Nothobranchius furzeri: one gene and its partners. The protein of the gene in region 1 purifies or fractionates together with the protein of each later gene. This does not show direct contact. Links are inferred from orthologs where the notes say so. Each region holds a gene or a part of one and is shown in the gene's direction. Other genes may lie near its edges. The genes, in order: rpp30, rpp25l, rpp40, pop4, nepro and pop1.

The links.
Region 2: the proteins of rpp30 (region 1) and rpp25l purify together in Homo sapiens (co-immunoprecipitation; 3 studies listed by BioGRID and IntAct, counting the BioPlex papers as one, with this or other methods). This does not show direct contact. The link is inferred for Nothobranchius furzeri from reciprocal best matches to the Homo sapiens genes RPP30 and RPP25L.
Region 3: the proteins of rpp30 (region 1) and rpp40 purify together in Homo sapiens (affinity purification with mass spectrometry; 3 studies listed by BioGRID and IntAct, counting the BioPlex papers as one, with this or other methods). This does not show direct contact. The link is inferred for Nothobranchius furzeri from reciprocal best matches to the Homo sapiens genes RPP30 and RPP40.
Region 4: the proteins of rpp30 (region 1) and pop4 purify together in Homo sapiens (affinity purification with mass spectrometry; 4 studies listed by BioGRID and IntAct, counting the BioPlex papers as one, with this or other methods). This does not show direct contact. The link is inferred for Nothobranchius furzeri from reciprocal best matches to the Homo sapiens genes RPP30 and POP4.
Region 5: the proteins of rpp30 (region 1) and nepro purify together in Homo sapiens (affinity purification with mass spectrometry; 3 studies listed by BioGRID and IntAct, counting the BioPlex papers as one, with this or other methods). This does not show direct contact. The link is inferred for Nothobranchius furzeri from reciprocal best matches to the Homo sapiens genes RPP30 and RMP64.
Region 6: the proteins of rpp30 (region 1) and pop1 purify together in Homo sapiens (affinity purification with mass spectrometry; 5 studies listed by BioGRID and IntAct, counting the BioPlex papers as one, with this or other methods). This does not show direct contact. The link is inferred for Nothobranchius furzeri from reciprocal best matches to the Homo sapiens genes RPP30 and POP1.

Annotation. Positions count from the first base shown.
Region 1 is NC_091756.1:51,152,619-51,157,878, forward strand, and holds rpp30 (ribonuclease P protein subunit p30), read left to right. Parts: upstream 1-1,714; 5' UTR 1,715-1,788; coding exon 1,789-1,870; intron 1,871-2,511; coding exon 2,512-2,570; intron 2,571-2,848; coding exon 2,849-2,971; intron 2,972-3,144; coding exon 3,145-3,216; intron 3,217-3,693; coding exon 3,694-3,783; intron 3,784-3,863; coding exon 3,864-3,980; intron 3,981-4,102; coding exon 4,103-4,132; intron 4,133-4,271; coding exon 4,272-4,309; intron 4,310-4,470; coding exon 4,471-4,550; intron 4,551-4,629; coding exon 4,630-4,704; intron 4,705-4,867; coding exon 4,868-4,911; 3' UTR 4,912-5,164; downstream 5,165-5,260. Other genes in the region: nudt13 (NAD(P)H pyrophosphatase NUDT13, mitochondrial), read right to left, coding at 43-150, 286-428, 503-705. UniProt on the Homo sapiens protein: Component of ribonuclease P, a ribonucleoprotein complex that generates mature tRNA molecules by cleaving their 5'-ends. Also a component of the MRP ribonuclease complex, which cleaves pre-rRNA sequences.
Region 2 is NC_091745.1:59,630,063-59,635,537, reverse strand, and holds the start of rpp25l (ribonuclease P protein subunit p25-like protein), read left to right. Parts: upstream 1-1,928; 5' UTR 1,929-2,031; intron 2,032-2,048; exon of another isoform or gene 2,049-2,072; intron 2,073-5,475. UniProt on the Homo sapiens protein: May be a component of ribonuclease P or MRP.
Region 3 is NC_091751.1:33,813,233-33,818,466, reverse strand, and holds rpp40 (ribonuclease P protein subunit p40), read left to right. Parts: upstream 1-1,527; 5' UTR 1,528-1,601; coding exon 1,602-1,718; intron 1,719-1,764; exon of another isoform or gene 1,765-1,902; intron 1,903-1,994; coding exon 1,995-2,136; intron 2,137-2,236; coding exon 2,237-2,305; intron 2,306-2,378; coding exon 2,379-2,474; intron 2,475-3,449; coding exon 3,450-3,572; intron 3,573-3,957; coding exon 3,958-4,123; intron 4,124-4,190; coding exon 4,191-4,325; intron 4,326-4,394; coding exon 4,395-4,593; 3' UTR 4,594-4,832; downstream 4,833-5,234. Other genes in the region: riok1 (serine/threonine-protein kinase RIO1), read right to left, coding at 1,278-1,333. UniProt on the Homo sapiens protein: Component of ribonuclease P, a ribonucleoprotein complex that generates mature tRNA molecules by cleaving their 5'-ends. Also a component of the MRP ribonuclease complex, which cleaves pre-rRNA sequences.
Region 4 is NC_091749.1:7,822,917-7,826,651, reverse strand, and holds the end of pop4 (ribonuclease P protein subunit p29), read left to right. Parts: intron 1-1,525; coding exon 1,526-1,587; intron 1,588-1,807; coding exon 1,808-1,909; intron 1,910-2,023; coding exon 2,024-2,160; 3' UTR 2,161-2,871; downstream 2,872-3,735. UniProt on the Homo sapiens protein: Component of ribonuclease P, a ribonucleoprotein complex that generates mature tRNA molecules by cleaving their 5'-ends.
Region 5 is NC_091754.1:12,628,745-12,633,969, forward strand, and holds the start of nepro (nucleolus and neural progenitor protein), read left to right. Parts: upstream 1-2,063; 5' UTR 2,064-2,151; coding exon 2,152-2,236; intron 2,237-2,426; coding exon 2,427-2,581; intron 2,582-2,660; coding exon 2,661-2,749; intron 2,750-2,883; coding exon 2,884-3,012; intron 3,013-3,167; coding exon 3,168-3,245; intron 3,246-4,394; coding exon 4,395-4,696; intron 4,697-5,225. Other genes in the region: tex30 (testis-expressed protein 30), read left to right, coding at 276-347, 494-730, 810-861, 981-1,198, 1,386-1,550. UniProt on the Homo sapiens protein: May play a role in cortex development as part of the Notch signaling pathway. Downstream of Notch may repress the expression of proneural genes and inhibit neuronal differentiation thereby maintaining neural progenitors.
Region 6 is NC_091745.1:50,265,116-50,269,814, reverse strand, and holds part of pop1 (ribonucleases P/MRP protein subunit POP1), read left to right. Parts: intron 1-653; coding exon 654-922; intron 923-999; coding exon 1,000-1,093; intron 1,094-1,171; coding exon 1,172-1,280; intron 1,281-1,347; coding exon 1,348-1,467; intron 1,468-4,699. UniProt on the Homo sapiens protein: Component of ribonuclease P, a ribonucleoprotein complex that generates mature tRNA molecules by cleaving their 5'-ends. Also a component of the MRP ribonuclease complex, which cleaves pre-rRNA sequences.

The DNA of each region.
Region 1 (5,260 bases):
GAGCCATTTCAAATTGATGCTCACCTATTACCAGGTTCTTACCAACATCCAGACAGAACTGAGCCTGGTTCTGATCTGAACAGCCAACCAGAATGGACTCTTTTAGTAGGGATTCGTCAGAACCAAGTTTCTGCAAGACAGACTGAACATCTGGAAGATAATCACAAGAGATGTTTGAAAGTGAAGGTTCTACTACTTCCTCTTCTGACTGAAGTCTTAGATCTTGATCTGTCCCTGACTTTCTGGATTCGCTAGTCTGTGGGTTCTGGTTCTTGGGCTGTGTACCTGAGTAGGTGAGAAAGACTGGAGATAAGTTTCCTCGGCCAGTCTGCTGCAGCAGTGGAACCAACCGATGAAACAGGAAAATGTGAGCGTTCTGCAGCGCTGCAACACACGCCTCATCACACTCCTTCAGACTGTTCAGGAATCTGAACAGAAACATCCATCCATGATCAGCAGATCAACCAAACAATTAATAAATAAGATGTCTAAGCCTCAGAACCTCATCCTGGACACGAAGCCTGAGTAGAAACGGGTCGGAACACAGCATCTGGCGGGAAAGAAAATCCTCAGAGGTCTTAACAGGGAAGCCATTCTGGACCGGACCTGCTGGATTAGGCCAGACTGATCTGAACTGGATTGGTGTGGTTCTGCTGCCTCAGCCTGCACACAGAGTCTGTTTTTATGTTTCTGCAAGATGTTCATTAATGAAGCTGATACTAACCTGTTTACCAGTCATAAGCAGCAGTTTTCCACTCAAACTAGTCTGATCAGGTCTGATTTAAATACACTTTTCTGAATAATTATTCTTGTGACCTCCAACAATTATTCTCACACTGCATCAGATTTATTTCACAGGCAGAAGTGTTAGATCGGTAGGATGCCCTGTTTAATAATCAGGGATTCTGTAAATCTGCTCGTTTCTGTTAGGTTACACTGAAACTATAGATTCGTGTCAGGCTAGTGGTTCTGAACACAAAAACCCGCTCAGAGTTCAGGCTGACCCGCTTTGTTATAGCAGTGTAACATCCACTTTGGTTCGGTTTAAGCGCGAGAATCTCAGACGTCTGCAGTAAATTTTCGACTTTTCACTGACCTCTGACCTTTTCTTCTTCTGCTGCTGCTGTTTGTTCCCTGAGCAGCGGTTTGGCACGGCTGCCCCCTGCTGCCAGACTGTTGTTACTGCAGCTGCAGTTCTTTGGAAGCAACAAAGTAAATAAAAATAACCTAGTGAACTACTAGACCTCTTGCGTTGCAAAGTTTAAATAACAGATTTATTTAGTCTGGCTTGCCAGGCTAGTGTAAAGCAGTAAATATGATTGATTTGAACTTTAGTCAAAATTTAGAAAATGAAAAATGAAAGTATTTGATTTCTTTGTAATTTGTCTGTCCTGGTATTAAAGTGATACTAAAATACTTTCTATAATAAAACAAAAATGCACCTCTGTTACTAATGTATGCTTAAATTAGTCATATTGTGTGTGCGTGCACGCACGCGCGCGCGCGCGTGTGTTTAAGTCACTTTAAAACAAGATACGTCTTCCCAGGAGGAAATATCCAAACAGGTTCATGTCAAATTGAGAAAAAAGATTAGCTTTATCACAGAATCCACTGGTTTTCTTCTTTTGTCGTTCTTGGGCTTGGGGCTTCCGCCACCAGCAGGTGGCGGTAATACAAAATATTCTGTGTCAGCCTCAGCCCGTGTCACTCACTCATCGAGAACAAGACTCCAGCTCCCAGCAAGCCTTGCGGTTTTCTATATGTGGAGCTGTATAGGTTCGTGGTACCATGTCTGTGTTTATGGACCTAAACGTGATGTATTCGTCTAATATAAAGCAATTGCAGAGTTTGGTGGAAACAGCTGCTCATCGTGAGTATTCTCGACCTTAAACCAGACCTTTTCTAGTGTTGTGTTTAGTTGGTCCGCCTCGTAACTCAGCTGGTTTTGGTTCGGCTGATGAGGCTCTGGTATCAGTTAAACACTGTCAGTAAATGACTTGATTTGTTAAGATATTAATCGATAATGCTTGTTTATAACATCACTAAGAACAACCCTTATCACTAGATTTTGTGGGAAAAGTTGAATCCGTTTATTAGAGAAATAATCGATCACAGCTTGTTTGCATCTAAAACCCACAAACCCGTAACATCGCCTTGGATTATGTACTTTTGATTAGGAACAATATTTCATAACAAAGCATTCTTTGTTGTCCATTTGACCCTTTGCACGTGCGTAACTGAACAATAACTGTTGAGGATAAAGCCTGAGACATAATCATTACGTCTGACAGGAAACAGAAAGATATCAGATGTTTACTTGATCTTCAGTAGTTTGGAGTATTTACATCAGTGACTGTGACAGGATCGTGATATCCACCTGATTCACACAAACAGAGCTCTTAAAGCACTCAATTTCCTAAACCCTACACAACCACAGATCCAGAATCAGAACCTGGATGATGCAAACCTCACTGAAGGGATTAACTGGGATTTTGTTTTCCCCTCCTACAGTTGGATATTCCACGGTCGCCATCAACTATGTGTTTGAGCTCGTAGCCAAGAAGAAACAGGTCAGACTACCTACTGCGCTGCATTGAGGAACAGCATGGAGTCAGATAGAAGCCTTTGATGTGGCTGCGTTTTGATACTTTATTACATTCTCATTCATTCTTATGAACAGAAACATCCAAATGGTAAAACATCAAAACGGGTTTTATAAAACTGATCTCCGAGCATTCACTTGATCTCTATGGTTAAGCAGATGCTGAATCAATCAGTTGATTGTCAATGAATTTACATTTTGTTTCAAACTTTTATTATTGGGAGTATGTTTATTTTGTCTTTGCAGGAAATTCCCTCACCAAAGCCGATCAATGAGATCTTTGATAAGCTGCCCATGGTGCAGGGCCGTTCTCGTCCAATCAGAGTGCTGAACAGACTGACGCTGGTGATGTCTGACGCCAGTCACTATGTGAGTTGTCTAATTAGAGCTAAGGGATCAATAATCTTGAAATGGATTGTATGATGTGATGCCACAGCCTGTTTTGTGTGTGTGTGTGTGTGTGTGTGTGTGTGTGTGTGTGTGTGTGTGTGTGTGCGTGCGTGCGTGTGCGTGCGTGTGTGTGCGTGCGTGCGTGCTCACAGCCGACCAACTCTCCAGCTTTTCGATTTTTCGACCTCATCGCCCTCCATTCAAGCTCTGAGAAAGTCTTCCATGTGAGCTTCACTGACACTCTGTTCATCTCTCCAACAGGATGATGCTTTCACTGACTACAGGAATGTTGATGGATGAAATATGTGACTTTAAAAAATCAACTTACTGGAAAAACGCACAACAAAACTAAACAAAAGACCATCTGAAACACAACTGGATATTTAACAAAAGAAAAGTTTAAAAAAGACAAAAAAATAATAAATTGACAACATTTAATTAGAAAACACAACAGGACCTAAACTGCAATTTCACTGAATGGAAAAGTTTTCAAGAAACACAACATTATAAAAAATAGAAACTAACTGTGGTTGTAATAGCAGTAGCTGTAATTTGTCCTGGAAAACACAGCTGTACAATAATTACACCTGTATGAAACAGACTGAGTGGAAAGCACTCTATTTTTACTGAAGTATGTGTATTATGTGTGTGTGTGTGTGTGTGTGTGTGTGTGTGTGTGTGTGTGTGTGTGTGTTATTCAGGCAGCTTGCACGTTGTACGATATCGACATCATCTGCATCCCAGTGACAGAGAAGCTACCCTTTTTCTTCAAGAGAGCGCCGATCAATGCGGTGACAACCAAGGCTTTTGTTTGTTTGTTTATTTGTGTGTGTGTGTGTTTTAATGAATGTGTGAACCTGTGTAAGTTCAGGCCATCGAGAGAGGCGTTGCATTTGAGGTATCCTATGCTGCAGCCATCAGAGACTCTACCATGAGGCGCTACACCATCGCCAACGCCGTGTGCCTGATGGAGAGCTGTAAAGGGAAGGTATGCATGTCCTTGCATCTGATTGGCTAGCTGCAGAGTAATTTACACTATGCTGTTATTTGACATAAGCTCTGTGACATCACGTTGCAGGTGAGATCTTGAGCTCTGTTTCTGTTTTTCAGAACGTGATCCTGTCGAGTGCAGCTGACAAGGTCAGTGATCAGCTACGTCTGTGGATCAAACATGAATTTAACTAAAGGTTCTGTTTCACCAAATCAGAACATTTCTAATAACTGAGTTTTAGCCCTTTTTGTCCACCGTACTTCTCTGACCTGATATTTGTGTTTTCAGTCTTGGGAGCTCAGAGGACCATATGACATCGCCAACCTGTATCCTTTAACCATTGTTCATTAATCTGACATAGGGCTCAGTGTTGCCGCAGTCTGTGAGATATCAGAACAGACCATCGTGTGTGTTTTCACAGAACTGTGTCTGGTGTGTAGTGTTGTACAACACATTTCATGTCTTGCGTTCCTGATCTGGTTCTCAGAGGTCTGCTGTTTGGTTTGTCCAACCGAGATGCTAAAGAATCTATCTCGTCCACCTGCAGATCTGTTTTACTGCGTGCGGGTAAATCCTGTTGAAGTTCTGCAGACTCGGGCTTCCTGTTGGTTCAGACTGTTTACCACACTGTTTGTTCATTTGTCAGAAACCAGGTCGACAGCCAGCGGCATTGTGCACACCTGGAAAACCCAGCAGGAGGCGCTGCAGGACTCTGCCGACAGTAAGTTTCCACTGCATTTATCTGAAGCTGAATCAGGCTGGAGGCGATGGTGATCTGTCCTTCAGAACTCCAACTGATGTTTTTTCATCATCTGGTTTCTCATCAGACTCAAACAAAGTAATGCTTGTTTCACCCAGGTCCCTCTCTGTGTTCATGTGTACAGGTGAAGCTCCTGCTGCCAAAAGGATGAAACCCTCTGACAGCTGAGGAGGCGGGGCCTTCCTAAAAGCAGCTGAATCAATTAACAGTTTAAATTAAAATGTCCCGTTTTGACTCTTCATAAATGGAAGAATGTGAATGTTTCTGAGAAAAATAGATCCTCTGTTTTCATGTAAAATTTTTATTTCCAACCTTTGTTGAGTAAAGGGTGTTACAACCCAATATTGGAATTAGGGGGACATTACTTTTTCGCCTAGAGGCAGGTCGTATTCCCGTTTTAATAAAAATTTGTGAAAATGTGTATGATTTATTATTTGCTTCAACGGTAACTGCTTTTTTACATTCTCATCTGTAAGTTGTTTTGGACTAAATCACATGATGCTGAAATTTACTTTGC
Region 2 (5,475 bases), on another chromosome or scaffold:
TGAGTCTATCCACAGTTAATACTGATTTGTTGTTCCTTTGTAACATTAACTGTAAAATAAAAATGAAGTTGCTGCATTTTAAGCCTTAGACACGTTGAGATTGGATCACAGTATTAATTTATCTATGACTTTCTCGCACCACTGACTGGAAGCATCAGCGGCCATGAAAAGAAAAAGGGACATCTTGTCCTTTTTTACGGCTGTTAATAAAGAACAGTATAGGCAGAGAGAGGATGAAAGTCACAAGGGAGCTGAGAAGCAGGATGAAAGAGAGAAGGAGGAGTTGGTTGGAGAGGAACCAGAGAGGTCAGAGGCTGTCCACCCTGAGAGTGAGGAGGAGGAAGATGTAGGCTGTGAGGGAGAGAGTGAGGAGCAAAAAGAGGGACATCTTCTGTCATGTGCACTGTGTGCACTACCGTCAGGTTTGTGGGTGTTAAACAAACCCCTCTGTGTTTGCAGCTCATATTGTGTGTAAAATGCATTTGAGGCATGCTGACTCTGGACCAAAATTTCTGTTGTTTATATTTAATAAATAGATAAAATAAGACTCAGAGTTAACTAATTATGACTTTTATCCTCATGCTAACATTTATTTTCTTTCAGATATCAGCAAGTGCAAGGATGACCCACCTACTCAGCCTCATTTGAGAACATTTCCAGTGACATTAATAGGAGACAGAAGATGCAGCTTTCAGCCAAGCTGGTATGAAAGTCATCCAATTGGGTTGAATATTCTGTTACTATGGACTCTACTTATTGTCATGCATGCAGACATTTTAGCCCACCAAGTAGCGCAGGAAGTGTGTTTGACTCACCATGTGGATTTAGGAACTGGAAAAAAGCAACTGAGAGAGGAGGGGGGTTTTCAGTACACGCAAAGTCTGAAAGGCATAAGGATTCAATGATAGCGTGGAGGGACTACCAGAGGGCTGTGAAAGCTAATACAACATTGGCTAATATACTCGACAAGGAACTCAGTAAAAAGGTTAAAGAAAATCGTGAGTTTATCAAAACAATTGGTGAAGTGATTTTGCTTATGTGTGTGTGTGTGTGTGTGTGTGTGTGTGTGTGTGTGTGTGTGTGTGTGTGTGTGTGTGTGTGTGTGTGTGTGTGTGTGTGTGTGTGTGTTGACTACAAAAAGCAGATTGTATTGTGCAGATATTTTATTTGTTTGAATGTTTATTTTTCATATGTACAGTTCATATAATCTTCAAATAAAGTCACAAACTATAATAATTGACTAGAATTGTTTTTTACTCAAGTCTCATGTTGCGGTGAAGCATTCAGAATTGTTATCTGAGTACCATAAAAACATGCCAGTTTTACTTTCACAAGTAAGCCATTACTGCATTCGCCGTAATAGTTTACTTGTTCATTGTCTTTTAATATGATTTTTTTTCTTGTGCCCCCATGAAAAAATACTGGCCCCACAGTGGCCCCCCTGGAAAATTTGGTCTAGAACCGCCCCTGGTTTGGTGATGTGCAGGAACAGGTGGAAATTTTTGTCTCAATGGAACTTCAAAATAGAATAATTTTCAAAATAAAAATGAATTTGCATACATTCTTTACCAATTGATTTTTGCTTTTTGGATCGATGGCCATGATGGATGTGTCAAAGTAGATCAATGTATTGTTACATTGTGAGTACATTTTGAGGCATGCTGAAATTTACTGAAATGTCCCTGGAGCTTCCGTTTGTCACCTGACGTGTTAAGAGAGAAACAACAGCTGTGTTCAGTTTGCTTTGAAACATCACAATAAAAACTCTTAATTAATTATGAGTTCTGCAGTCTTATTTGCTTAGACAGTGTAACAAAATAGTCCTTGCTGTGATGGAGCATCTGGGCTTGTTTTCCATGGTTTTCATAGGAATTTTATTGTTTTTCTGAAACGTATGATTCGCGGTACTTTAAAAAACTACAAGTGTCTCGTGAGTTTACGACAGTTTTTGTGGTTTTACGGTAACGTAACCTGTTGTGGTAAACATGCGGACTCGGAGCAGTGTTCAGTAGTAAAAGGAAAGAAGTAAAGGTAAGAAGATAGTGTTTTCATGCTGCAGCGGACCACCTAAGGTTTTTATCTTGTGTTACCCCTTATGACCTGCGTTTGTCTTATTTATGACCATTTTAAAAACACTTGTTTACTGAACGGTTAGCTTTAGGTGAGTCCGGGTGAAGCAGCTTCCTGCGGTGAGGTTTATTATCATCTGAGGTGTTTTCAGGTCAGAGTTTGAACAGCCTTGTTGGCACATGTGGTTAGTTGGAGTGGTTGTTGTTTGAAGTTAGCTGTCTAGCTAGTGTGCTAAAGGCTAACACCGCATTGAACGCGAAGTTAAATTATATTGTGTATCATTTCTGCGTGTGATGATGTCATAAGCATGCCGAACACTTAAAAAGACGCAGAATTGTATTTTAAACCTTCGTTTAAAACCAAGTTCAGCGACGTCATCACATCTGGGTAAAAATGCTATTTTTGTGTGGAGTTTGGTTTGCGCTCAGAACTGAATTTTATATCTGTTTAAAAACTCAAAAGGTTGGAAATGTGTTTAATCATGACTAGGGTTGCCAACTCCCTGAAAAATAAATAAGGGACACCTCGCGGGCAGGGCGCTCCAGGCCACCCTTCCCAGCGTGGTGATTTTTTTGCTCTTTTTTTGTGTGTGGGTGTGAAAGGATTTTTTTTTTTTACTATTTGACTTGAAGTTGGTTTAAGAAGATGCATATTCTTTGTGATATGAAAACATGGGAAACAAATGATCATTTAGCCATTTATTTATGGCGTGAAATTACAAAATTATTATAAGTAACAAAGGTATTTTTCTTAAACAGAAAACTGTTATGCTCAACTTTTTGTGCAAAATGACAAAAAAAAGTAGGTCTCTTTCTTAAACGGTAGCCTGTTATGCTTTACTTTTTAGAATATAAATAGCTCTCTTTAAAACAACTCTGTTCTGCTTAACTTAAAATTGTATAAATTAATAGAAAACAACAGAAAGAGCAACGCTGTAACTGCACATTGAGTGCAATTAGAAAAGTGCAAACAGAAAGTCTGTGGAGAAGCTGTAAACATATTTGTGCCTCAAAGGCCTTGACTGTAGCCTATGGTTGAAGTAAAAAAAAAAAAGTCCAAACTCATGAACTCAAAAACTCAATGCTACATTATGTGAAAACAGACTATTTTCGCCATTTGTATTTCTTTTGAGATCTTGCTGCATTTAGGAGTTGTTTGTCTTTCAGTACTGCAGAGTAAAACTCTGAGCAAGACATGTCACAATTTAGAGTGACAATGAGCTCACATCTAATTATTTCAGTAGAACATTTGTTCCGCACATCAGTCCACTTATTCTTCATGAGAGAGAAAATCCTCTCTGCCAATCCAGTGGAAGATGGGATGCTGAGTACAAACGATACAACAGGCTGGATGTTGGAGAGGTCAGCTGCCTGAAGAATTTCTATACACTTCTCTGCTGTTCCCTTGGACTGCCACTTTTCCTTCTCCTGAGGTCCTTTGGTGAGGTGCTCCAGAAGGCTGGCTGCAGTGACACACTCGTCATAAAGCTCATCCATAGAGATGTTTAACCTGCCAATGGAGATAAGAAGTAAACCTGGGTTATAAGCACCACATAGAACACTTACAGTGGTAAATAAATGGAAAACATTTATTGTATATTTATTGCATTGTATAGCTTTTATACAATACAATAGTTCACTTTATTTATTATGTATTTATCCATCCTTTTAGTTTAAAATTATCCAAACAACATATAAACCAAGACAAGGCTACATCGAAACTAAACACCCAAGTTAAAAAAAAAAAATAGAAAAACTAATGACAAAACAGAAACAGACAACAAAAATAATAAAAATAATGGTAAACAAGCCCCAACACAGTGGGTTTTTTTTTCTTCATATAAATACCTTCACTTTAACCAGAGGGTTTAAAAAAGCAATGTTTACTTACCATATCTGCTTCTGCCATGGCCTTGTGGACGACAAATGGATCGAGGGTTCCCCGTAATTTCACGTCCTTTATGTTTTTCATGTGGCTACTACTAGACGCATGTTGCTTGAGGTCAGTGAGTCCACCATGCCCTTTGGAAAAACTGCGCCGGTACACGGTGCAGTGCGCTTTATAGGTGTTCTCGCGCAGTTTTTCCAGCCAGGAATTTTCCTTTTCCCATTCCTCCCTGTATTTTTGAAGCCTTTTTTCTTCTTTCTCGGAGGGGTACTGTCGTCCGAGACTTGTACAGCAGTGTCGGCGTTAGTTTCCCGGTTGGCCGTGCTGTTTGCTGTCGTCTGTTTTCTTCCGGTATCTTCTCCCCAAGCGACCGTTCCTCGACCAATGAAATAAGCGGTAATCTTATCGTCATATTCGTGTGTAAGCATGCGGTCAGTTCATTAGTCACAGAGCAGGCGAAGGGCTGGCTTTCAAACAAAGCGTTAATTCCGGTAATAGACTACAGACTAATTTTGATCCATACTATATTACGGGACAAAGTGCGTCCCTTTTGAGTTCAATACGGGACGTGCACTTTTGTTTCTAAATACGGGACGATTCCGTTTTTCAAGGGACGGTTGGCAACCCTAATCATGACTGATCAGCTGCTTTAAATGGGAAAACTTCAGTTGTCCCTAACATCCTGACTTATTACAACATATTTGTTAAAATAAAACAATTTCTTTTTATTCTGTTCAGTAGCAATCCCTTTCCTTCACAGCACTGTACAAGTTGTAATTATAAGTCTCAAAATATGTTCCGTATTCAAGAAGTAATTGAATCAGCATGCTGACACTTCCTCTGTCAAAGAGAGGGGGGCCTAACAGATTAAAGATGGTGGCAGTCACGCAGGGCTCATCAATGTCAATGGTTTAGTTGTTTCAGTGTCCCCTAAAGTGTCTGGGGGGCACATGTCTCCTTTATATTCCTGCCACACTTTGTGGCTGTTTTTCAGCATTTATTTATAATGGGGTCAGGGATGAGGTCCTGCCCCAAGTGGAGGAGTTTAAGTATCTCAGGGTCTTGTTCAGGAGTGAGGAAAAACTGGAGCGGGAGATTGACAGGCAGATTGGTGAACCGTCTGTCGTGGTGAAGAGAGAGCTGAGTCAGAAGGCAAAGCTCTCGATTTACCAGTCGATCTACGATCCTACCCTCACCTATGGTCACGAGCTTTGGGTAGTGACCGAAAGAACGAGATCGCGGATACAAGCGGCCGAAATGAGTTTTCTCCGCAGAGTGGCTGGGCTCTCCCTTAGAGACAGGGTGAGAAGCTCAGTCATCCGGGAGGGGCTCAGAATAGATTCGCTGCTCCTCCACATAGAGAGGAGCCAGTTGAGGTGACTCGGGCATCTGGTCAGGATGCCTCCTGGACGTCTCCCTGGTGAGATTTTCCGGGCACGTCCAACCGGGAGGAGACCTAAAGGTAGACCCAGGACACGTTGAAGGGACCATGTCTCTCACCTGGTCAGGGAACGCCTT
Region 3 (5,234 bases), on another chromosome or scaffold:
GTGACCATTAAAGGCAGAAAGTGGGCGTGTTGGAAGTGGGACATGATCAAAAAACACCTGAGAACATTTCTAGGTAGTCTCTGATTCATAAAGCGGAGATTGTGTGCAATTGTGCGTACTCCATATTTTATAGATCACAAACCTACTTGGCATAAGTACATTTTTTTGCTGAGTTTAAGTACAGTTTTAGTAAGAATTCTATGCTATGTTTTATAGATGAGACCCCTGACCTGTACTGGAATGGTTATTGTGTGAAGGTCCTTGAGACGACTGGTCGTGACTTGGCGCTATAGAAATAAACTGAATTGAATGTTGGAAGTCCTAGTAAGCTCTGTTTATCCATGTATTTTATTCAAGGAGTGGAAGGAGTTTGGTGAAACCATGGTCCTGAGTCAGAAAAGGGTAGAATGCCTTGTCCAGGTCAGGGATGAGGTCCTGCCCCAAGTGGAAGAGTTTAAGTATCTCGGGGTCTTGTTCACGAGTGAAGGAAAGATGGAGCGTGAGATCGATAGATGGATTGGTGATGCAGGCTTTGTACTGGTCTGCCATTGTTAAGACAGAGCTGAGTCAGAAGGCAAAGCTCTTAATTTATTGATCTATCTACATTCCAACCCTCATCTACAGTCACGGGCTTTGGCAGTGACCAAAAAAATGAGATCGCAGATACAAGCGGACTAAATGCATTTTCTCTGTGAGGTGGCTGGACACCTCCTTAGAGATAGGGTGAGAAATGTGGAGGGGCTCGAAGTAGATCCTCTGCTTCTCCACATATGGTTAGGATGCCTGCTGGACCTGGTGAGGTTTTCCGGGCACACCAACCAGGAGGAGACCTAATGGAAGACCCAGGATACGCTAGAGGGACTATGTCTCTCAGCTGGCCAGGGAACACCTTGGGAATCCCCCGGAGGAGCTGGCCCAGGTGGTTGGGGAGAGGGAAGCCTGGGCCTGGCTGCTGATCAGCAGATGGATGTTCTCTGGTGTTTTTGTCTACAGCTGACTGAACTTCATGATGACGAGAAACAATAAGAGCCAATAGTGTTTAAAACAAAGCTGTTCACCTGTAGAACTCCTACAAATGCATCACTTCCGGTAGTCACCCACAGAACAAAACTAATCTTTATTTACGCAGGTTAAACACGTGGTTAGCTAGAAACGGCGCGCGTTCCCGACGCAGGGTACACGTTCTACCTGGGATACCGACATCAGTACAACACCGGAGCAGGACCGTTCTCATTAGGTCACGTTTCTGATCCAATACGTCACAAATAACAACATACCGGTTGTCCTCCTCCGCGTCATCAAACTGCCCTGGTACGGCAGCCACCTCCACCATGATGTCACGTGAATAAACAGAAACCAGGACCAAGTTCTGCTCGGGTTACCCTAGGTTCGGACCGGAGCGCGCTTTCACCACCGCGTGTTTTCTTCACTTCCGGCGTAGACCACGTGACTACGGGGACCCACGAGGCTCTGAAAACAGCACGACATCCTCCTGCTCAGATCTACAGAACCTGTAGAACATCCAGAACTTCCGCGGTTCCGTTTGGTTTCATGCTAACGGGTTCTCGTCTGGATCCGGTCTCGACGAGGGTACCGTGAATATGTGTTCGGATCTGGACCGGACTCCTCGGACTCTGCTGGTCTGTGATCGGTCCAGTTTCCTGGACGAGAAGAACCGGGTCAGCCCTCAGGTGGAGAAGCTGCACTTCAACCACAAGGTGAGAGCTGCGCGTGCACGCGCTGTGACGAGCCAGTGTTTTGCCCATGCCGTGCATGCCCTGTCGCGGGAGCGCGCATCGCTGCACCGACATCTGAGTCACGAGGCAACTGAAGTATAAACTTTTCTCATCCGGGTACTTGCTGAATAGATAGGTGAAAATAATAACAGAACCCTGCTGCCAGGTACGGGTCCAGGTGATGTCCAGTTTCTGCTGCTTCTACCTGCAGCATCACAAAGTCGTGCTACCTTCTGTTGACTGGGTTCATCTGTGCAGGTATCTGTACTGCTGCCTGGGTGTAGCGTCACCCCCTCCAACCTGGACTTGGTGATGAACACCTTCAGCAGTTTCTACCTGATCAAGAAGCTACCAGTACACGAGCTGCTGGACCCAGGCCTGCAGGGTGCCATAAACCAAGGTAACACAACACCTGTATATACCATTTAGTTATCAGTACACACCTGTGTGTACTTGTTATTTAGTACTTACCTGTACACACTTGTCTGAACCTTCTTCAGGTGTTGTGTATGGTCTGTCCTTTGGGACTCGCATCGATGAAGATACCTGTGTTGCTTTGATGCCAAAAGGTAAAACAGGCGACAGCTTTGACTTCTTCAGTGCAACATGAAAAAAACTGAGTGGTTCCTCTGGTCCCTGCAGGACGTCTGGTTCTGTCTCTGGACAAAGACTCGTACGAACTTCTGGGGGTTGAGGGGAAACCGTCCAGATTCAACCACAGAACCTGCAGCAGATTTGGTCAGGTTTACTTTTGTTTTCTAAAGGTCACCAAGTCCAGATCGATCCTGCAGACCTTCATCACTCTGGTCTGGTCTCTGGTGGGTCTGCAGACCTTCATCGCTCTGGTCTGGTCTCTGGTGGGTCTGCAGACCTTCGTCACTCTGGTCTCTGGTGGGTCTGCAGACCTTCATCACTCTGGTGGGTCTGCAGACCTTCGTCACTCTGGTCTGGTCTCTGGTGGGTCTGCAGACCTTCATCAGTCTGATCTCTGGTGGGTCTGCAGACCTTCATCAGTCTGATCTCTGGTGGGTCTGCAGACCTTCATCAGTCTGATCTCTGGTGGGTCTGTAGAACTTCATCACTCTGGTCTGGTCTCTGGTGGATCTGCAGACCTTCATCAGTCTGATCTCTGGTGGGTCTGTAGAACTTCATCACTCTGGTCTGGTCTCTGGTGGATCTGCAGACCTTCATCAGTTTGATCTCTGGTGGGTCTGCAGACCTTCATCACTCTGGTCAGGTCTCTGGTAGGTCTGCAGACCTTCATCACTCTGGTCAAACATGTCACCATATCACCAGCTGTGATGACACGATTTTCGTCTCCAGATCCAAAGTTTGTTTAAAGTTTCCACATTTTCTGTCAAGCGTTTCTGTATAAACCGCGCGGTTTGCGTAGAAAGTCCCTTACACCGTTTTCTGACCCGTTTTGTGCAGAAGCAGCTTTCTAAAGGAAGTCCCAGGACTATAGGTGTTGGGTCTCCAGGTACCAGGTGTGAAGGGACCCGTGCGGTAGCCTAAAAAAGCCAGTTGACTAAACAGCAGCAGAGCCAGGACACTGGGTGGAGTTTTAGGGTGAATTTATCCTCACTAGAAGGAACCTGCAGGAAAGAATGTCCAGATGTTCCTGACTCAGGTCCGGGTTGTTCAGTCCTGACCTGTTTGCTGAGCTCAGCCTGAACAGAACCAGAAACCAACCGAGTGTGATGTCTCCTGCAGTGGTCTCTGTGGACCTGACGGACAGCAGCATGGCACCTGGTGGACGGGGCCACACCCGGCTCCTTACAGGTCTTCGGTCACACCTTCAGCTGCAGACAGACTTCCTACTGTCCCATCATCCAGGTGACACACCATTGTTAAGGATGGTTACATGTGATCTTCTCCTTACAGGTGAAACTCATAAAAACTAGAACAAGGGGTAAAGGTCACTGTTGTCACTAATCCACCCTGAAAGGTGAGACTAATCAATGAGACAGACTCATCCTGTCAATCCAGATGTTTCCGCCTTTATCTGTTCTACCTGTGATGATTACGGCTTCCAGATGATGACGACCCCACATTTAACATCTCAGAATATCATGTAAAGGTTCAATGTTCTCCAATCAGCTGATGAATCCACAACACAGGCAGAGGCTTCCTGAGCCTTTAGATGGTCTCGCAGTCTAAACTGGACTTATGGACCAGATTCTCTTTTACTGTATCACCTGTACTCCATTCTGCCTCTCAGAGGGTGGGGCCTCTCTACAGCCACTCCTGTCTCGTTATGATTGGTCCAAACACGAACCTGAGGTCAGCTGCCGCCACCTGACTGACCTGACCTGTCCCGACTTTCGGTCATGTGACTGTCACAGTCTTCTGGAGTGGATTGGAGCTGTGGAGGCCGACATCAGCTGGTGAGTGGTCCAGTCAGGGTCACGTGTCCAAGTGTTGTGACTACAAGTCGTTCTTCTGTGGTTTCAGTGAGAGCTCATCCAGCAGCTTCCTGTCATCGTTCACCTGTCCAGAGCCCAATGACGTGCTCAGTCATGCTCTGAGCGTGTCCATCTGTGGCCTGCTGTTGCCACACGATGTGCAGCGACTGATCCAGGAGCTCAGGTTAGCTCTCTCACACAAGCACACCTTTACCTGAACAGCTGACGACAAAATAACTCACCTGTGCTTCAGGTGTCACCTGCAGCAAACTCAGCTGGAGTCCTGGGCTTCACTGACGGTTCACGGTTTCATCGATAGTCCAGTATCATGGGGGGACAACGAGCACGGGGTTCTGAGTGGAGGGGAGAACTTCTACAACTTGCTGATGTTCCCTGACCACACCTACCACCTCCACCTGGCCACAGGAGCATATGACACTTGTCCACCATGAGGTGACCTCTGGGTCACATACCCTCTCACCAAGATGAATTACTGTTGTCATAGAAAAAATCTGCCCCAAGACAGGAAATGGGTCAACAGTGCTGCATGGTTTCTTTCTGCATAGCTCCCTGGAGCGACCTTTAACCTTTACCTGAGTTTTTCTTTGGATTGTAACCTTTGACCTCAGAGCAGAATGTTTGTCTCCCGATTTATGAGTAAACCTGAAAATAAAACAACAATTTAACAACAGCTTCCTGTCGTGATCCCAGTGATGCGTTACCGTGGTAACGTGGACATGTGGTGTTACCGTGGTAATGTGGTTCACGTGGAAGTGTGGTGTTACCGTGGTAATGTGGTTCACGTGGAAGTGTGGTGTTACCTTGGTAACGTGGCTCGTGGACATGTGGTGTTACCTTGGTAACGTGGCTCATGTGTGATTAGTGAATAAAACAGTCGTTTTTTTTCCAGAACAGGGAAAAGTTCTGTTGGACTTTATTCTCTATTACATGTAGAAGTTCTGCTGTCAGAACGGCTCTGCTCCATCTGAGCAGAACTTCTTTAGACTGCTCAGCACAGCAACAAATCAGCTGAACGGACTGGTACCGGCAGAACCAAGCCACACCTGCTGCCAGGAGACCAGCACTGCAGTAC
Region 4 (3,735 bases), on another chromosome or scaffold:
AATGAACAAGGACACTGAATAACGACCGTCATAATAATGAACAAGGACACTGATTAACGACCATCATAATAATGAACAAGGACACTGATTAACGACTGTCATAATAATGAATAAGGACACTGATTAACGACCGTTATAATAATGAACAAGGACACTGAATAACGACAGTCATAATAATGAACAAGGGCACTGATTAACGACCGTTATAATAATGAACAAGGGCACTGATTAACGACCTTTATAATAATGAACAAGGACACAGATTAACGACCGTTATAATAATGAACAAGGACACTGAATAACGATCGTCATAATAATAAACAAGGACACTGATCAACAACCGTCATAATAATGAACAAGGACACTGATCAACGACTGTCATAATAATGAACAAGGACACTGATCAACGACTTTCATAATAATAAACAAGGACACTGATCAACGACCTTCAAAATAATGAACAAGGACACTGATTAACGACCGTCATAATAATGAACAAGGACACTGATTAACGACCGTCATAATAATGAACAAGGACACTGAATAACGACCGTCATAATAATGAACAAGGACACTGATTAACGACCGTCATAATAATGAACAAGGACACTGATTAACGACTGTCATAATAATGAACAAGGACACTGATTAACGACCGTTATAATAATGAACAAGGACACTGAATAACGACAGTCATAATAATGAACAAGGGCACTGATTAACGACCGCTATAATAATGAACAAGGGCACTGATTAACGACCTTTATAATAATGAACAAGGACACAGATTAACGACCGTTATAATAATGAACAAGGACACTGAATAACGATCGTCATAATAATAAACAAGGACACTGATCAACAACCGTCATAATAATGAACAAGGACACTGATTAACGACCGTTATAAGCGTTACATCAGGGATTTCGCCCGTTAATTCTTGGTAAAGTGTAAGTTGTGTATTGTAACATGCACACAACGATGATGTCAGCAAAAATCCTCCTGTACCAGAGGAATCTGAGCTTTTCAGCCCGGTGTTGGACAAATAACATGGTTCTGATGTGGTTCTAGAGACACCAGCTGACCATGGGTCAGAGTTCTGTTCATAATTGTTATCAGACCTACCTGTCCGGATCCCACACAGCATCTGACTCGACTTCAAAGCCTGATCGCTTCTGTGAGTTTGTGACGTCACTGAACCTCTGTGGCCACATGTTGTGTCCTTGGGCAAGACACTTCACCCAACTTGCCTGTGTTGGTGTTGGTCAGAGGGGCCGGCGGCGCCAAATGGCAGCCTCACCTCTGTCAGAGCGCTCTAGTGTGGCTGTGGCTACGAAGTAGCTTACCATCACTGGCAGTGTGTGAATGTGAGAGTTCACGCAAGCGTCCTTGAGTGTCCTAATAAAGCGCTATACAAGTTTGATGATTATTATTATGATTAGCATGCAGGATAGGTGTCACCGCCACGTGTGAACTGTAAGTAGACCAGCAGGATGGTGTCCCTTCATGTCTCCTGTCTTCACAGCAGTCCACAGTTGGTGCAGCAGAAGCTTCTGAAAGCAGACCTCCATGGAGCCATCCTGACAGGTAGATGTTGGCTGGTTCTGGGTGTCACAGGCACGGTCCTGAACCCAGATCAGCTTCTGGTTGAGTTTATATTTCCTACTAAAAGATGCATCTAGAACCAAATTGATGTTCTAATGATCAAAGTTCTGTTAGAGGTTTACAGCAGGGCAGACTGGGCCCACCCTCTCTTGTGCTTGTATTGTTGGCATGTGAGACTACATAACCGGTTCTCCTGTCTCAGTGGTCCGGTCCAGATGTCCATCATACGTGGGGACAACAGGGATTCTAGTGCAGGAGTTCAAACACGTCTTCAGACTCATCACCAAGGAGGACAAACTCAAAGGTGAGAGGACAAGACCCAACACAACCGTGACTTGGTTCTCTGCAGAGGAACATGAGTGATTTTTACCACGGAACCGTTGTAACCGGCAGCTTCTCTTTCCCGTCTCTGTGTCAGTAATTCCCAAGAGGAACAGCGTGTTTTCCGTGGAGATCAACGGATTCGTTTCACACATCTATGGAAGCAAGTTCCAGCAGCGGGCCAGCGAGCGCTCCGCCAAGAAGTTCAAGATCAGAGGGACCATGGACCTGTGAGGGCCACGGACCTCAGATCAGCTGACTCATCAAAGGGAAGAGCTGATGACATCATCAGCTGCATTGGGTGGAGCTGTGTGATGGAGAAGAAGAGTTGGAGGCTCTGTCCTGCATACATGTAGCTGATCTCACACACACACACACACACACACACACACACACACACACACACCTACTGTCACACTTAATAATAAACAACAAAACAGTTTGTTTCTATGTGTCTTTTTAAAATGTGAAGGTTATGTTTTCACAAGGCAGAGCTCTGCTCCCAGGTTCCTCTGTGGTTTAACTGGCTCAACCCTTTAGTTATGCGGCTGTAGAGTCATGGTTTGTGGGTTTAGCTGATGATAACAGGTGTCAGTCAGACCTCAGAGCCAGAACTATGATGGCTTCTGGTAGCAGAGCTGCTACAGGTGGATTTCCTGATCAGTGGTTGTGTTTTGCAGAGGCTGGTTCTCATGAAGGTTTCATGAGGTCCGGTTTAGTTTCTGAGCAACTGCTTGGTAGACACAACATTGCGTCTGATGCTTTATTAATAATCAACTAGTGTATAGCAGACCAAATTATTTTACATCCAGAACTCAGTTTCTTCCAGATACAAGGGTTCTGATAAACATCACATTCAATCACCACATATACATCCATCCCATATCGTTATTCATAACTTGTCATGTATTATAGTCTAGAAAATAAAGTTTATTTTTAATTATATACTTGACTCTGTCTGAATTAATACGAAGTGTGTTTATAGTCACTGAATAAGCAAAGAATCCTAAATTCTTCTGGTTAAACATTCAAAGATCAATCAGGTTGATATTCTATATTTATATAGAGTCATCACATCTTATTGGTCATAATTTAACCCCCCAATCACGACATTACAAAATCATGATTGTCTCTGAAGCCTGGGTCTTAGTGCTACCCCTTACTCAGATCCTGCCAACAACATGCGTGGCGTTAGCATGTTCTCATGCATTTGTGGTGTGAGCATGTTCTCACGCATGTGTGGCATTAGCATGTTCTCATGCATGTGTGGAGTTAGCATGTTCTCCTCATACATGTGTGGCGTTAGCGTGTTCTCATGCATGTGTGGAGTTAGCATGTTCTCCTTATGCATGTGTGGCGTTAGCGTGTTCTCCTCATGCATGTGTTGCATTAGCATGTTCCCCTCATACATGTTTGGTGTTAGCATGTTCTCATACATGTGTGGCATTAGCATGTTCTCATGCATGTGTGGAGTTAGCATGTTCTCCTCATGCATGTGTGGCATTAGCGTGTTCTCCTCATGCATGTGTTGCATTAGCATGTTCTCCTCATACATGTTTGGTGTTAGCATGTTCTCCTCATGCATGTGTGGCGTTAGCATGTTCTCCTCATGCATTTGTGGCATTAGCATGTTCTCCTCATGCATGTGTGGCGTTAGCATGTTCTCCACATGCATGTGTGGTGTTAGCATGTTCTCCTCATGCATGTGTGGCGTTAGCATGTTCTCATGCATGTGTGGAGTTAGCATGTTCTCATGCATGTGTGGAGTTAGCAAGTTCTCCTCATGCATGTGTGGAGTTAGCATGTTCT
Region 5 (5,225 bases), on another chromosome or scaffold:
CTAAAAAAGTCCTAGGACTTAGCTTTTATATGAAAGCCCATTGCCGCCACTTAAGAGATACCTATCTCATAATTGTTGGATATTATTTTATATTATTATTATTATTATTATATAATGTTGGGATTAACTAAATAATAATTATGAGAAAAATAATAGTTTAGAGTGGCGGGAATGTGCTTCCACAGAACAGAACATTCCTATTTATATAATGTTTTCTTATTCTTGAGCTGCTGAAGTCGCCGACGCCGGTTGCAGTTACACCTCCTGACCGCTAGATGGCTCGCCTTCGTTGTCGAGCTTCATTTTTAATTAAGAAGCAGATGCAATCAATGGCGACGTTTGATGAGGTAAAAGTTACTTAAACACTACTAATTAATATACTATTGACCTTAACTCAAGCCAGATTATGATTATGAGCGTCTCAAGGTAAATGGAACAGATAAGAATTTCACAAGTTAAAAAAAACACCGTTTTTGCCGTTGTTAACTTTCAGGAACAGGTGAAGGTCCCGTTTGGGACAAAAGTACTGGATGCTGCTTTGTGTGTCCCAGCCTCAGTAAAAGATGTCCATACAGCTGTTGTACTCACACACGGAGCAGGGGGAGACATGAACTACAAACATCTGGTTTCTCTGGCACACACTTTAGCATCAAATGGTTTCATCTGCCTTCGTTTTACGTGTAAAGGCTTAAATCTGAGTTATAGAGTTAAGGCGTATTGTGCAGTGTGGGTAAGGGTTTTCCATTTTTTATAAAATTATGTTAATAAATTCTAGTGTGTATTCACACGTTGCTGTGTTTTTGCTCTAGGACTACTTGAAATCATATCAGAAGTATACAATAAAACACACGTTTGTTGGAGGTAAAAGCCAAGGAAATGATCAGTTGCCATATTCTAAAACTTAATTACATATGAAACAGAAACGAGTATTAAAAATAAAACAAATATATATTTTAAAATTTTTTTCTGTATGTTGACAGGCAGGTCATTGGGATGTCGTGCTGCAGCAGCACTGGCCAGGCAGCTGAGTGAGGAGTCGAAGGAAGCAGCAGTGCAGGGAGTCATCTGTCTCTCTTTCCCCCTGCATCCTCCAGGACAGAGGCATATCCATCACCAGCGGAGCGAAGATCTCCGGATGCTGCCTGAGTGCCTTCATGTGCTGTTTGTGTCTGGCACTGAGGACAACATGTGTGACAGGGTGAGGGTGAAATATGTACCGGGCCTTCATCCTGGTACCTTTTAAGTTCACTTATTCAGTTTTTTATTTGTTTAATTTTATGTTCATTATATCCTAAAATCTATAATTTAGTGACATCATGTATTATTTTATCCATTTCAACTTTCACAATTATATTTCAGTCATTGTATTTACTTATCTTTTTTAGGAGCTTTTCAGTGGAGTACTGAAAGATATAAAAGCTCAGGCTGAAGTTTTATGGATAGCAGGAGGCAGCCATGGACTGAAAGTGAAAGGAAGGTCTGAGGATTCTGTGATGGATGAGATCAACCTGAAAGTTATCAACTGGATAAAGAAAATTGAGTTTAAGTGAATCACTGGAGTCATCTTGTTATTAGTTTGTTTCATTTTCTTGCATTTGTTAAATAAAACACATTGTTTTTATTACAACAAATCTGTTGGTACAGTTTTTACTGGGTGTTAAAACTTTATTATGCAAGCAAAGTATTCACGTTAATTCATTTTCTAAATGTGTGCACATTGCAAGAGCAGAGTTGCAAATATTGCAACATTAAAAAAAATAAGTAGCTCAAGCACGTGGGGATGGCAAACTTGTAAAATTATTTAAAAATATTTATTCAATATTTAATAAATGTTTCCAATTTTACCACATAGTGTATAAATACATTATCAAAAATATCCTTTTTTCTGTAGATTTTAAATATTCAAAATATGTTGAATTTCACTTCAAAATGTCTTAGAAATACTTTGATTTTTAAAAATGGTAAATTGTTTCTGTAACAATTTAAAAAATATAGAAGAATAAGCAAATGTCTTATTTATCTATTAGTTTTATTATTTTCAATTTTCGATTTCAAGTGTCAAACTTGTTTCTGTACCTTTAAATCCAATGTTGACGTCACACACTCGAACACTATTGGCTAATCGGCTTCCGTACATGGAATGCAGAAAGCATGGCTGCGGAACCATGGAACAGGGTAAACATTCCCTTTCCCAGTGCGACATCAAGCGTCCACATACGTCTCACATCAACAACAGGTTTGGCTTTTTAACTTTAAAATAATTACGTGTTTTACTTATATTGTCTGATGTCTCGCGCTCGTTTCAACGCGTAAAAACCGCGCCGATCTCAGCCCTCACGTGTGCGCGCAGGGGTTTTGCGTCGTGTGCTTCGATGGTGACACTCGTGTGTGTGTGTGTGTGTGTGTGTGTGTGTGTGTGTTTCTAGCTGAGGTTTTCAAAACCCTGCAGCGGGAAAACAGCCAAGTCCTGAAGCTTCTCCGCAGCAATATTCTTTGGACGGAAATCAGAGTTCTGTACGAGCTGCTGTACGTTCTAAACAACAGCATGAGAGGCAACAAGACGTTCAAGGGGTTACAACAGGTCAGCACCAAAGCTGCAGAATAACTGTTTTGATGTGGACTTCTTTAGATGTATTTGTCATGTCTGACTTCTCCCACAGGTTGAACAATGTGTAAACAGACTGAAGAACATGAAGCTTGATGCAGCTCTTGAGGATCTTGCAAATTTGTGTCCAACTAAGATTCAAATGTAAGAAGCAAACAACCCAAGGCTCTTCCTTTATAGTTGATGAAACAGGATAGGTCAAATCAAGTTTTAAAATATCTAAAGCGCAACCTTACACAGCTTTTTTCAAACTAATGTTAATTTGTGTGCATTTTTAGGACACTGTGCACCAAGAGCGGTGAGTGCAATGTTCCAAGTCAGCCCACGCTGGAGTGGACCTGCCTCAAAGTCCTGGGAGCCAGCAAACTCCTAAGCTGCACCTTGACCCGCTGCAAAAGAGCCTTTATGTATCCTGTTTTAGAGGATTGTGTTATCTGTGTGCATCATAAAAGTATCGGTGTCATGTCGTTTTTGACTGCTGGCGTCTTAGTTAGGGTTTAGTCTTTTTCTGATCACTTTATTGCTGGGGGGGGGGTTTATCCTTAACACATTTTTGTTTCAGACTCACGAGGCAGCAAATGAAACTGGAGGAGTTTGTGTTATTGTGTTTGGTGATCACCAGCATGCTCAGTCGTTTGTGGTAAGAGAAACTTTGAGAAACTGCAAAATAGAGGCTGGAGCAAATGTAACTCCAGAAAAAGCCATTTTTACTGATCATTTTCGGAGCAGTGCCTCGTGTTAGATTATGGGCCATTCCCATCTGTACCGGGTCGGCCCCAGCCTGGCCCGGTTGATTCCACACATCCTTGTCTTAAGCCCATGTGGACTGATTCTTCCCACCAATCAGAGGCTTGCTCTAATGGAAGGTGTGAATTTGCTGTCAGCAGTGGGTGTGTTAGCCCTGGTCGGCCTGAAGCAGAACCCCTCGAGAGAAGAGGGCTGAGAATGAGCCTTGGTTGGCCCGGTAAAATACCAGGCCACCCAGATATGTAAACAACCTACGCTACCCGGCCCGGGCCGACCCGGTACAGGTGGGAATGGTCCATTAAGCCCCATTCCCACCTGTACCGGGTCGGCCCGGGCCGGGTAGCGTAGGTTGTTTACATATCTGGGTGGCCTGGAATTTTCCCGGGCCAACCAAGGCTCATTCTCGGCCCTCTTCCCAAGGGGTACTGCTTCAGGCCGACCAGGGCCAACACGCCCACTGCTGACAGCAAATTCACACCTTCCATTAGAGCAAGCCTCTGATTGGTGGGTAGAAGCAGCCCACATGGGCTTAAGGCAATGATGTGTGGAATCAACCGGGCCAGGCTGGGGCCGACTGGGGCTACCCGGCCCGGGCCGACCCGGTACAGGTGGGAATGGGGCTCTTGTTTACAACACTGCTGTAGCTAGCGCTAATGATGAACAAGAGCCAACTGATACCAAATGATCCACAAAGTAAAAAGGTCCACACCATTGGGAAAAAAAAATGTTTATTTTTTAAATTTACACGTGCAGTAGCAACAAATCCAGGTCACCATCAGTCTGAAATTTTGTAGCTTCGTTTAACTCCCTCAGATGAGTGTAGGCTGTGCCGAGGTTCACTCTGGTTTTACCTCTATGTTTAGATCTTTTTTGGGCTTTTTATTGGCGAACTGATAGCAGTTTCTGGTCAGTGGAGGCCTACAGAGTTATGTCCAATGTGAAGTTGCTAAAGGTACTGGCTTAAGAACCACTGAAACCAGTTTGAAACCAGTATCTTAAAATGTAAAAACTGTTGAAGTTCTCCTTTTCTGTGCCTTACCAGGGTGATTTTCCGTGGTATCCTGGTTGGGCTCGCCAAACTGTACCCGAATGTCCTGGAACTCCTCAGGGATGTGTCCCAGGCCCAACCCATGCCATACCTCACTGGCATCTCCCTGCCAGCTACTATCGCTGAGATTCTGAGTCCTTCTGATAAATTATTACTGAAGACGCATTGTGCATTTCACTCTCACGTCAAAGATCAGAAGATAAAGCAGCAAAGCAAAAAGAATGTTCCAGATAAAGAGAGAACCCAGGGAAAGAAGAGGAAGATTACAGAAGACCTGGGGGTTTTGGTCAAAAGAGGTATAGTGTCTTGTCTTCTGTTTTACCTGGACTAGGGCTGGGCGATATGGCAAAAATAGAATTTCACGATTTTTCCAATATTTTATCACAATTTCGATTTTATCACGATTTTTTATCCATGAATAGCATAACTTCTATTGCGTATTAAAGAAGAGAAACATTGAATAAACAAACATTTATTCATATTAGGGATAATCAACACAGTGCTAACACACTTATATTTTAAACTCACACCAGAGATGATAAAAGCCCTGAGAGAAACAATTACAAAAATCAGTTTTTCTCGTTTTTCAAGTAACTTAACATAAATTAAAATCGTAAACATATTTAAAGTGCAAACATGTCAATTGCAAACGTATTGTGCAAACATTAACTTGTTCAAAATACTATGTAGCTCCCAGTTGCTCATGTAGTGGATAGTTAAGCTCAAATATGACTCTGATGTGCGGCTGGACCAGAGATCGCTTGTGGTAGCAAAAAACTGCGCATTCTGAATATTTTCTGCAACTCTCACTTTGCATTCAGCGTA
Region 6 (4,699 bases), on another chromosome or scaffold:
TTTTTAGGAGACAAAGGTTGTATTTGTGAGTCACAGTACAGCCTGGTTATTTCTCCATGATGTGTAGGGCTGCTGCTACACCAGCTTTAATTTGTGGAAACACCTGCCTTGTATGCTCCTCTCTCTTCCACCATCAGAACCACTCTTCTGGTTTGCAGAAGCTTTTTCTTCCTGTAAAAGCATGTGTGTAGGTCCCTGCTACTTCTTACTGTAACAACCACTGGGAACACTCTGATTGGTTTTCCTGTTGATGTCTGTTTTATTTCTTGTAGAATCACGTTGAAGCCAGGCTAGTGAACTCTTCGTTGCCCTAAAAGGTCTAACAACTAGCTGTGTGTCTATGAGCGATACCAGCCTTAAACGACCCGATGGTTTCTTCTGCTGCATGCACCTTGCTGTCTCTGTAGTTTAGTTTGTGTGCTACCACTCGTGATCTGATTTAGTTGTGAGTTTTACTGCATAGTTCCTTTTTGTTGATATAAACTAGACTTTTGGCCATTTTTGGGTCCTCGTTTGGCCTCTCTGGCGCAGATGCTGTAGCCTAAGTCGGCTCTGCAGCAGTAATATCTGGATTAAACAGAGCATAAAATCTCAGGGTTTATTTATTAGGATTCTTAAAGCTGTACAATAAGTGATTTCCATTCTGTGCCCAGGATCTTCTCCCAGAACTTCAAAGTGTATGCCGGTGTTGGGAGGCTGTGCCGCCCTCCATTGACCCCGAGGTCTTGTGTGGAAAGGAGAAAAGCGCTCCACATCCAAAGCCTGAAAACATCCTGGAAGCAAAGCTGAAACCTGGAGCCAAGAGGAAGAGGAGCTCTGTGGATGCCAGTGAGCCTCCTGTGAAGAAGATTTTGGGTGATGGGACCAGATTACCGGGAACTACAGTAACCTGGAAGTCCAGCTCCACCGGAATAGTTATCAAGTTAGTGATGGTTCAAGTTTCATTCAGACAGAAACAGAAAAGGCAAGACGTCATAAGTGTTTATAAATGTGCTGCAGTGACCTCACCATGGAGATTGTGCGCTATCGCCTGATTGGACCACAGTCCCACTCTGTGCTGACTGAAGCCCTTGAAGCAGCGACGGTCTGTAAGGTAAGCTGTGGGCTTTCAGCTGCAGCAGCTTCTGCAGCAGACTCTGGATGAATGTGCATTTTGTTCTATTCTTCTAAGGAAGTGGATAAGTCCTTGGGCTCTACCTTCTGGTGGCCTCAGCACTGCAGCGATGAGAGCAACATGCTTCTGCATCAGCAGCAAGCTGATGTCTTCCACACACTGAAAGGTCAGCCGCCCCCGTGTGTTTGCCAGCTTGTAGACTCAACTCACGCTTGTTTGTGTAATTCTGCCAGGCATCAGTTCAACCACAGAGCTCCCCCCCGGCACAGTGCTGGGGCTGACGGTGGATGACCCCAGGCTGACTTTACCAACAAAGAAGATGAAAGTGTTGCCCTGCGTGAGCCAGGCCCAAGGTACACCTTACAGGAGTGGGTTTCTCATCCCACATTATCCAGCTGAATATTAGAGCTACTCGGGAGCTGGTTTCAGTCTGGAGGTTGTTTCAGTGAGAACACATCTGGTTCTGTACTCCTGGGGGGGGCTCTGCCTGGCCATGCAGATGTTCCAGGTTCAAATCCTGGCAGGACCCAGTACTCCAGACACAACCTCAGGGACTGACAGCAGCTGACTGCTTGTATGTAACCTAGGGCTGCAACAACGAATCGATAAATTCGATGAAAATCGATTACTAAAAGCGTTGGCAACGAATTGCGTCATCGATTCGTTGTGTCGCACAACTCTCCCAAAAGCGCGCCCCCTTCCCGCCCGCCGTTGCGCACAGAGCAAGTCAGATCAGCGCGAGGGAGAGCCGGCAAATCAGCGCAAGGTTCACGCTGCTGCGAACCGGTTCCGCCCAAGGCCGGATTAACTGGGCAATTGCCCAGGGCCCACGAACTCTAAAGGGCCCAGGGCACGAGCACAAAACTGTATCTATAATTTCCCCTTCATGAGGACTATGGTGACCGTACGTTCCGTTTTCCCCGGACTTGTCCACTTTTCACTCTCTGTCCGGGCGTCCGGACTGCGGGTTCTTGTATTGATGAAAATGTCCGGCTTTTCATCCAGGAGCAGGGATCGAATTATGGGGGAGCTGTATATCCTACACATCCAGGGAGCCGGAAAAAAGTTTTCTATATTATATCATTTTTGGACTCTTGAGCAGAGAGTGGTACAGCGCGTTGTTGCGCAGCGCTCCAGGCAGCTGCTTCCAGCGCACGGTCCATTCTCAAAGTGGCGCAACCAAACAACTATAATTAGCACACGATCGTTCATGTCCACACATGTTCTCTATTTTCTGTCTTATTTGTGCCTGAAGCGCGCTACTGCGGAGCTCATCACCTGTGCTGTGGTGATGTCACCTCACGCAGCATCGAAAACGCGCTCTGCGCTTTGCGGTCAGGAGATCCCTTTGATCTGCTCAAAAGTAACTGATGAGGTGAAAAGGTAAGAATCCAGGCAACAGATTTTCTGGAGAGTTTATAGGAGATGCAGGAAGATGAGAGACAGACAGGACAGGAAAATAGTTAAATAAAAACAAGAAAACAAAACAAAGTGTTGAAAAGTAAAATGTAGGTAGATTTATCTCCACTACACGTTTTTACCAGTAAAAAACAATAAGTTAAACACATGTAATATTTATACATCTGATACAATTCAGATCACCTTCAAAACTCAGTCACACACCCAGGGCCGTTTCAAGACATTTTGGGGGCCAGGGCAAAATGCCCCCCCCCCCCCCACCACCACCACCATAACTGGGCTCCCCAGAAGCCTCTGTGTAATCCATACCCTCTCCAGTAGTGTTAGTTATACAGTGTTTATAAAAGCCCCTCAGACATTACTGACATGTTTTAATATTATCACATGAAAAACTAAATTATCAGACATGCTGTCTCATCTGCTGCTTTTCTAAACTTGCAAAAAGTAACAAAACCATGTGAAAGCCACTATTTGTGGATTCTCTGAAAGTTTCCATGGAGTGTGGGACAACTTATTTTTTCATTGATCCTATCGTCTAATCTCACAGCTGAAACAAGCATCCTTAATAATCTGTGCACAGGAAGCTTACCAATGCTGTAGTAAAACAAAAGGTATAATAATTTCTTATTAATAAAACCTTGTTGCAGCACTAAAGCAGAAAAATGAGATTTTGCATTAAATATGCAAAATATTTACATATGAATTGTTTTAGAGCCCTTTTATTGGCAGAATCTGATATTAATTTAGTTCTTACAAAAAATGGGTCCCAACATGGTTTGTGTGGCGTTTCCATAGTGTGATGTCATAGGCACAGATCCCCTGTCCTCTTGTTTGGAAATGGAAATATGGTCACCCTATATTAAACAAACTGTCCACCCGGGCTTTTGCGCTGCACAGAGACGCTTCGCTGCCTATGACTGAACGTCAGTTGAGAGTCAGTCTCATGCAGACTGACCAATGAAGAGAGGGCCTCAAGACCCTCTCCTCATTGGTCAGTCCACACGAGGTGGGTCAAAGGTTACTCTGGGCAGGTTACGTGTTGTCAGGCATTCCATTATTGAGTACATTTACTGCATATTACAGTAAAATATTCTGTATGTGACCACATTATGGTGATCCTCGGGTCGTGATGATGGAGCCCTTGAATATTGTTGCCCAGGGTACAACAAAGTGTTAATCTGGCCCTGGTTCCGCCGTCACATTCCCGCAGAAACTGGTTGATCACACCGGGGCCAGACTACTAGCATGTGGTTTTACAACCACAATGTCCTCAGAAGCAAAAACGCTTGCTGCAGGCGTGTTGTGTGAGAGTGCAGTTATATACTGGTTAATATATTTTTGGGTTCAGTTGCTTTCATGTGGCCTAATGTGAGTCTATTTGGGATCATTGGAATGATCAGCAGCATTTCTTGATGTGACTTTATGGCAGTTGCCCAGGGCATCATCACAAGGAGGATGGCATTCATTTACTTTTGTTTTATTTGGTATTTTTTCAGTCATTTTTGGAAATAGTGATTAATTTTGATTAATTCACAGCCAATGTTTAATTACATTTAAAAATTAGTTGTTTGACATCCCCAGTTATAATAAATGTCAACAGATGAGATCAAACAAAACAGATGAGAATTGCCCTTAAGCTGTTTAACTTGGACCAAGCATTTTAGGTCACAGATAGATGTAGCTTAGGGTCTCTGTCTATACACCTTATGAGACAATTTAGGTGATGGCATGTTGTTTTTCTGCTATTGAACTGTTTTCTAATAATGTTGTGTTAAATAAAGTGAAGGAAGGAGAGAAATAACGTTTCCCTAGCAGTTTTAAAAAAATTTCCCCATGTAATCCGATTAATCGATTAATCGTGTCGAGACCCCATCCGATTCATCGATTATCCAAATAATCGTTTGTTGCAGCCCTAATGTAACCCAAAGGAGCTGTTCATCAGAGAGGGCTTTTAAGATCTTCATTTCTTACTGAAACTCGGCTAATTTTGAGCCTTTTCATGAAACGGGTGTGTGTCTACCACACAACACCCAGGATGTGGTGGTGGATGTCTTACTGTCGTCTTTAAGGACAAACTTGTGGCCCTTTTTCTAAATCTGAACGTCAGGTCATCAAAGTAGGGTTACGACATGGATTTGAATGTGCCCACCTCCAGAACGGAACATC